2 linked regions of the Oryzias latipes genome follow. The protein of the gene in region 2 binds, or shares a complex with, the protein of the main gene of each other region. Links are inferred from orthologs where the notes say so. Each region holds a gene or a part of one and is shown on either strand. Other genes may lie near its edges.

What was found. The genes of interacting proteins can lie anywhere in the genome.
Region 1: gins1 (region 2) and mcm4 share a complex: the UniProt entries of both Homo sapiens proteins name them as parts of the CMG helicase complex. The link is inferred for Oryzias latipes from reciprocal best matches to the Homo sapiens genes GINS1 and MCM4.

Annotation. Positions count from the first base shown.
Region 1 is NC_019875.2:27,222,251-27,226,250, forward strand, and holds the start of mcm4 (DNA replication licensing factor MCM4), read left to right. Parts: upstream 1-1,200; 5' UTR 1,201-1,305; intron 1,306-1,361; exon of another isoform or gene 1,362-1,650; intron 1,651-1,970; 5' UTR 1,971-1,984; coding exon 1,985-2,048; intron 2,049-2,128; coding exon 2,129-2,287; intron 2,288-2,357; coding exon 2,358-2,518; intron 2,519-2,597; coding exon 2,598-2,699; intron 2,700-2,780; coding exon 2,781-2,876; intron 2,877-2,992; coding exon 2,993-3,088; intron 3,089-4,000. UniProt on the Homo sapiens protein: Acts as a component of the MCM2-7 complex (MCM complex) which is the replicative helicase essential for 'once per cell cycle' DNA replication initiation and elongation in eukaryotic cells.
Region 2 is NC_019873.2:12,527,796-12,532,015, forward strand, and holds gins1 (DNA replication complex GINS protein PSF1), read right to left. Parts: upstream 2,801-4,220; 5' UTR 2,599-2,800; coding exon 2,521-2,598; intron 1,355-2,520; coding exon 1,290-1,354; intron 825-1,289; coding exon 729-824; intron 659-728; coding exon 568-658; intron 498-567; coding exon 381-497; intron 316-380; coding exon 241-315; intron 163-240; coding exon 94-162; 3' UTR 18-93; downstream 1-17. UniProt on the Homo sapiens protein: Required for correct functioning of the GINS complex, a complex that plays an essential role in the initiation of DNA replication, and progression of DNA replication forks.

The sequences.
Region 1 (4,000 bases), on a different chromosome or scaffold from region 2:
ATCTACTACAACAATTGTTTTTACTTTAAAATGTAAATGTTTGCTATTTATATTATGTAAGCACGTCTATTTCCCATATAGCCCTAATTTAATTTTTTTTTTTTTTTTGTAAAAATAAATTGTTTACATGTTGTGATAAGATAAACTTTATTGGTCTAGACAGGAAAATGCACACAACTTCATGACATAATAAATAATGCAATTTCAATACTATGCAAGCTGTAAAACGGGCATTTTATAATCAGTCTACCATAGAGCATTTAATCCATTCAGACACATACCTTTACAATTAAAGCTACTTTATAGGAATGTTATTCTGATAATTTTAGAGTACAGAGTTTGTAAAAAAAAAACTAAAAAATAAAAAGAAATGAATATAAAATATAACAGCTCAAATATGTGTTTTCACACAGCAAAGCAACTACAAACAAACTCATTCTCTTTTATTTGCTTACTTACAGTCAATTTAAATGACAGAAGTTGGGCTTTAACATGATTTTGGTCTACCGATCTGCTGTCAACAATGCAGTCTGTTTGAGTGTCTTCCATCAGATACTTCTCGGAAATGTTTCCCATTTTTTCCTTTTAGGCAGTTTGCAGTACTTTTCCTCTGTGGAGGTCCACTTTCCTGTGAAAGACGCACCACCTAGTGGTTAGAATTAGCAACTGCAATAGATTTATGCAGTTTTACATAAAAAAATAAACATAGATTTTATCTTTTTTAGGGGGAAAATGTCTTAAATATGTAATTGTTATAATTACTAATTTTTGTGGGTATTCATTAACCGTTACTTTTTTTAAACAATAGTTTTCACTGCAACAATGGAAATATATAAAATAGAAACATCATATTTGAAACATTTTAATTCTTGTAAATCGATGTTTAATTATAAGGACTTTTTATTGATTTATTTTATTTATTTTTATTAAAAAATGTTTTTTTTTTTACTATTTTGTGGCTGAAACGGCAGCTTCCTGTGGGTTATAACCACATAAACGGAGGGAGAAAAGGCACAAAAAAGCTCAGTCGATTAGACAAAAATGTTTTTTACCTTTACAAATATTTAAAGAAAAAATGTTTTTAAATTATTATAGATGCCATTCTCCGTAATTTGAGGAACCTGTGTGCCTTTAAATAAATGAATGCGGATGAAGTTTTAACAAATCCCCCCCGTCAAAGTGGAGGGGCCTCCCGGAAGAAAGTTTGCGCTTCGTACTTTTCATTGGCCAAAAGTTACCCGCGAAATCGACGTCATCCGCAATTTCGCGCCAGATCTGCAGCTCTTGTCGTGCATTGAAGAAGAGGTAAGAAAGTCCTGCTTTTATCAACCCGGTTAATGTAAATCCTGCCGCTCTTTATGCATCTACGACAGAAGGAACTGATTGGGGTTTCCTTTAAACATCGATGACTGTTTTTATTGACATACTTTGGTGGTGAAGTTAGCAAAACACGATGTCGACTGAGCGCCGCCTTTGTTTGTCTGAATTATAGAGAGCCGCATGTCAAATGGTGGCTGAAATAATACTTCTCAAATCTGCGTGTTTGTACATTTAAAAAGACAGAAGATGCTCTAAACGTGACAAAATCCAACTGCTACGACGAGTGACGCTTAACCTGCATTTTCTGAATAAATACGTAAGAGTTTTGAGGTAAACGGGGCTGATGGACACTAAACGTTTTCAGAAACGAATTTTGCTCCTGAAAATCTACTGTACGTGTATGGAGAGGGATATAACCGCGAAAAAGACTAAAGTTGCTGCTTGCTTAATTTTTATTTGACCACCAAGAAAATGTTTTGCAGTAAACAGGATGCAAAAAAAATCACATACTCATTTTTTTTAAAGTGCACATACCTGTATATCTAAATATTTCCCGTGTTTTTACTCTCATATTTGTACAACTGAATCACCATTTATCACTTTCCTCTACAAACCATCTTAAGTCGGTTTTGACTTTTGTCAATCTGCAGATATTCCTGCAACGATGTCTTCGCCAGCATCAACCCCCGGAGGCCGTAAACGTGGAAGAAACGCCAACCCGCCCACACGTATGTCTGCTTCGCTCGGCTCTGATCGTCTCGGTCGCTCTGGTTCTTTTAAAAATACTTTTTTTTTTCCTCCACACCAGCGAATAGCGAGGATCCCACCTCTCCCCCCTCACAGAGGCGCCGGGGCCAGGACTCGTCTGCCGGGGATCTGATGCCGATGCCAACCTCCCCGGCGACAGACTTGCTCAGTCCGGCGGCACCTCAGGACACGTCTCTGTTCTCCAGCCCTCGACCTTCAGGTACTTGTTCTGGTTTTGTGTTACTTGATTTAAAAGAGGGCCTTGCCAGTCACAGTAGTGATGTTCATAGGGCCGAATGAAGTGGACATCAGCTCCCCTCTTGTGTACGGGACCCCCAGCTCCCGGGTGGAAGGCACTCCTCGCAGCGGAGTGCGTGGCACGCCAGCCAGGCAGCGCCCGGATCTGGGATCAGTCAGAAAGGCCCCCCAAGTGGATCTCCACTCTGACCAGGTCAGCGGACGAGCGCAGGCTCATCCAATGTCGGACTCAGTGGAAAAGAACAAAAGTTGACGTGGTTGTCGTCTTCTAGCCGAGCGCCGATAACGCAGTCGCCAGCGAGCCGAGTGCCGGGCAGAATCTGGTCATTTGGGGGACAGACGTCAATGTTGGGACGTGCAAAGAGAAGTTCCAGGTATGGACTGTGTCACCAGATGAGCTGTGTCCATCCTGCTTTCACTCCAGTCAAAGGTAACATTTCTGTGGTTTTTTTCAGAGGTTTCTGCAGAGGTTTATCGATCCGACTTCCACCGAGGACGAGAATGCCGGTCTGGACCTCAACGAGCCGCTGTACATGCAGAAGCTGGAAGAGGTGCAGCCGTCGCCGCCATTCGTTTCTGCTTTTAAGCCACAGTTTTTGCGACGCTTCACTCGTGTTTTATTCTTTTATTTGTGACCAGAGTTGTTGCCTTTTTCCCCCCCTCTCAGATCAGTGTGGTCGGGGATCCGGTCCTGAATGTGAACTGTCGCCACGTCCAGTCCTTCGATGCAGAACTGTACCGGCAGCTCATCTGTTACCCACAGGTAGAGTCTCAAACACAATTAAACACCATTTAAGCTTTGGCTGAATTCACTCATCACTGCGCATGGCAGGAATTTGCCCTTTTTCGGATGTCCACATCTACAGTTCCAATGTCCAGTGTCCTCAGAAGTCTCTGCAGAAAACTAGTACACATCGACGCTCACTAGATTAGTGACTAAATTTCACTCCTTCTCCTGTAGATCAGTGGTCTCCAACCTATTTCAGGCCACAGACCTCTTTAATGTCAGACAATTTTTTAACGGACTGGCCTGTACGAGGCCAAAGGGGCTTTTATTTTATTTATTTTTTTATAAATTACTTTAACTTTTGAGGGCAAAGTTTATCTTCACCCTCTGTAAAATAAGTGCAGCTGCTTTAGACTTTATTTAGATTTCAAGTAGGAAACATTAAAATGGGATCCAGATGATCCCATAACTGACAAAGTGGAAGCCAAAAAATCAGACGCCAACTTTAGCCTCATATTATTTAGGTGGAACTGATAAAACCAAATAAAAGGGTCACTAAAACTGATATTCTCTAAATATAATAATTCATGGGAATTTGTAGTTTAAACGACTTTATGAGCAGCTTCCTTGTAACATTAGAAAGCCAGTTGTTGAATATTCTGCATTATTAACTGTGGTCTGTGTGAACAACTGTCACAACAAATCCATATTTGGAGTAAAGACTCCTGGTAAATGAGACTTACTTTTATTTTGAAGGGGAAGGCTCTTTTCTGCCAAAACAAACTCTCCAAATATGTTTTGGCGGTCGGCGCAGCAGCTTTAAGAAAGTAGCGGATGGGTTTTCAACACGTGACCGAAAGGCTTGATACGTGTGTGACTAAAGAGTCGGATGCGGTGGAGAGAATCCCGCTGTTTTTCAAAATAAAACTTCCTTCAGAATCAGATTTG
Region 2 (4,220 bases):
AAAAATAAGTCGCAAGATTGGTTTATTAAAGTGATTTATTACAACATAGGACAGTTGGTTCTTTGAAGGGGTGTCTACAAAGCCCCGCCCACTTTAGGACAGCACATGCTCCAGGACGCCCTGACGAATCAGATGCTCACATTTCCAGCGCGGCAGGAAGTGCTGTAGAGAAACACGAAGTCAGAACATTTAAGGGATTCTAATTTTACTCAAATCCAGGGGGACTTCTTCCTGTCTCACCTGGCTGTTCTTCTTCAGCAGGATAATCGTCCCGTCATCAATTTCAAACTCGCCATGGTCCTTAATGCACCTCACCTGCAAGTATAGGTGTCAGGATGATGTCAACACTATGAGGCGGGGCTTTGGGTTAGAGGTCTCACCTGAATATACAGACTCTTTGGGGGCTTCATGTCCTGTGTTATGTCGAGACCCTCCCCTCCCCCGATGGAGCGCATGAAGGAGGCCAGAGACTTCTTATACTGACTGAACCACTCCACCTGTCACACATGGAGACAGCTGTTACAGCTGCCAACAGGTGAAACCTGCAGGAAGTGATGTCACACTGACCTCCTCTGCACACATGTGAAAGCGGACGTTTGCCGGCAACACGCTGCCGTACTCCCAGCGGAGTGCTCTGATCCTCAGCAGCCGGTCATAACTAGACAACAGACAAACATCAACAACACCAGTCATGTGATCTAACCTGTTCTGACTGTGGGCGGGGTTACAGGTAGGCGGTGACACAGCGCTGGTTTCGGAGCAGGCAGCTGTGTCGGAGCTTGATGGAGGGGATGAAATCGGAGCGCCCCGCCTTCGCCTCGTTCCTGAAAACAGACAATCCATTGATGTTTCTGGGTTCTGACCCGATTAGACAGATCAGCTTTAGTCTGATTTTTCATGTATCCACAGACCAATATAATTGTGTCATTGATTATTACATAATTACACGGATATTGTTTGCTCTGTCCTCCACAGACATACACTGCAAAAACAAGCCCTCTAAGTAAAAAATTCTTAAAATTAGAATTTTTTTGTCTTGCTTTTTCATGAAACAAGGTATTTTTACTTTCTTAAGATTACGTTTTTGCTGTTTGCACACTTACCACTGGTTTTAGACCCAAAGATCAGAGGTCAGTGAATTTGGATCATCAATGTTAAAGCCTTCCTTTTGACATTTGAGGCAATTAGATTTTTCTTTAGTTTGTAAGTAAAAAATGTTTGTTCTGTTTCTGGATCAGAACGGAGAACAAGCACACAAAACCATCAAAACCTTGTGTGTGGGGACTCACACGTCAGCCTGGTTCTGGTCATACAGAGACTCCATCTCCTGTAGAACCTGCCGGAGTCCATCCTCCTAAAAAATACACGGAGCCACAGTTTAAAGTTCTGCAACATAGAACCCTAAAGACAGTTTTTGAGAACAATGACATGAGGCTGCACTACTTTTCATCCCTTCCTGCATATAGGTTTTTAAAACTCTTTGGTGTAAACGCCACTTGCGAAAAATATCTGTGAAGCATGGAGGTGGAAGCATCATGCTTTAGGGCTGCTTTTCTGCAAAGAGGACAGGATGACTGACAGGTATCAAGGAAAGAATGAATGGGGCATTGAATGGTAAGATTTGGGGCAAAAGTGAGGGCACTGGGGATGAAAGATGGCTGGATCTACCAGCAGGAAACTGATCCCAAACACATCCCCATGGCAACGAAGGGGTGGCTACATAAAAAGCAAGGTTCTGAAGTGGTTTAGTCAGTCTCTGGACCTCAATTCAATAAAGAGAATCTGTGGAGGGACTTCATCCTAGATCCTAAGATCTACATGGAGGAGTGACCCAAATAACAGCCGCAGTGCAAATCTGGTAGAGATCTACAGATAACCTTTGACGCCGGTGATTGACAACCGGGTTGCATTACAAAGTTTTGACGTCAATTATAGTTTTGACCAAATATTTATTTTTTACACCTTTATAAAAAACATTATTTTGCATTTGATGCAGCCTCTAGTTCCATTTATAAGGAGTTTTTCATCTCAATGGGAATTTCCAAGTTAATAAAACAAACAAATCATTTACCAAACATACATTTTCCTTTTTTTGAAAAAAAAAATTAAGTGAAGAAGTTTGTGATCAATAGAGTCAAATCAGAAATGTAAAGCAGCTGTCTGACTGGAAGAAACAGCCTCAGAGTAAACTCGAGCAAAAAGCCTCATGGGGTGGTTGTGGTGCTGAGGCAGAGCGTCCTCTGACCGCAAAGTCTCAGGTTCGGTTCCCACTTTGCCGGCCCAGGTGTCCGAAGCTTGGACAAGACACTAAACTCCACTTTGCTCCTGATGTACTCTGCCAGTGGGACTAATGAATATAAAACGTTTTGGTATAAAAATCGCTATTTAGAAAAATACGCCATTTGTATGTAGCTTGCTTGTTTAGTTTACAGGAAGTGTGTTGTGTGTATCAAGGGCTTAGATCTGATACGAGCCCAGCTTTCAACAGAGTCCCGCCGCGGCTCGAGCCGCCTCACTCACGTTAAAGGCGGGCAGCTGTCCATCGCTCAGCCGCTGCAGCTCCCGGACCAATTCGACGGCTTTCTCACAGAACATCATCAAACCGAATCGCCACACACGAACCCGAGCCCTTACCGGCGCTGAACAGTGGCTTTCGCGGGAAAAGTTATGTTTTGGTCACGTGGCTACGTGACATGAAATGATGGAGGCCGGCTTGGGACAAAATCCAAAGTGGTAGAATTGGGAAGGCGCTGTTTGCGAGACGGTCCGGCGACCTCCACGCTTTCCTCCGACGTAACAACGTGAGTTTTTTTTATTATTATTATTTTTGTGTAAATGAATGTTAAATCGTTTCCAGTTGGACTTCCGGTCTGCTGACTGACAGGCGATAGACCAAACCCATCGAGCTCATCGCCTCGCGGGTTGTTTTCTCTGATCTCTTGCCGATTCAAACTAATGCTGTGTTCAATTACTTCCAGAGAGAAGTGCGGCCTTTCATCAGTTCATGGGGGTATTCCAGGAAACATGTTTAAACTACCCTGGCTGTATCCCTGAACTCTGGCTGAAATCCGCCTGAACTTGCTTACTCTGGGTATGTCGGTTCCAAAAGACCGGATATGAATTGGCGTAATTACGCTCGACTTGGTAACCCTGGGTTAATGCGCATGCACGGCGAGTACATAAAGACATTCTCAATGGATCGCCGAATTCAGGAGTCACCATGGAAACGCGTGGAGAAAAAAAGAGAAAGGGAGTCTGAGATTTTAATGACGGCATATGAAGATTATACGCCCATAAAAATATCAATACGGCTGCATCAGCAAAAGAACGAGTTTCTGCTAAATAACGGACAAGGTAAACGCATCAGTTTCTCATTTCTATTGTCATTATGCCGCACATCTGAGGGTGTCGCTATAGCCATTGTACAGAGGGTATAAAAGGAAGTTGATGTGTGGTTGCCATGGTACTAGCTTCCTGTGAGAAAGCCGGTTAGCTCAGAGAGCAGCGTTAGTTGGCTCGAGCCGAGAGTGTGGATCACGGCAGAGGTAGATCGTGTTTTTTCGGGGGTTTACAGACTGGGCGTGAGGTTTTGGAATACTGTGCCCTGCTGTCCCGTTTTAGTTTTTTTTTTTTTTGGTTTTGTGTTTTGTTTATCCGCTCCTCACGGAGCTCACCCGGCATGATTGACTAATCAAGTGAAGTGCAGGAGAGGACTACTTCTTTTATTTTGTTGTCATATCTTTGTTAAAGTCACTTCCTCTCATTTATACTGGACATTGTTTTATAAGTGCCGTATCTGACCGAGTGGGCTGTGCATCAGAGTGTTCTGGCATGTTTGAATTTTTTTATTATTGTTTTTTTTTTTTTTTTTACATCGATTGTGATTTTCTTTTATGCACGTTTGCTATGGTGTCATCGGTATGGTATCGTACTGCAAAGAATGATCCTGTGTTAATAAAACTCTGACTTGCTTCACAGCGGTTATCAGTTTTTACTCGGTGCAACATTTATATAACTTATCCAACTTAAATTAATTCTTTCAATTGGTAACAAGTAATTGAGTTAAATTTATTCAACCTAATTTCTTACGTCTACCCAACTCAAAATATTTTTTTACAAATCATATTTATATAACTAAGTCATTTTACTCCAATTCAATTAAATGTTTTTCCATCTTTATTGTCTTTCTTGAACTCTCATGTCTAAGTTTAAACCTGCAG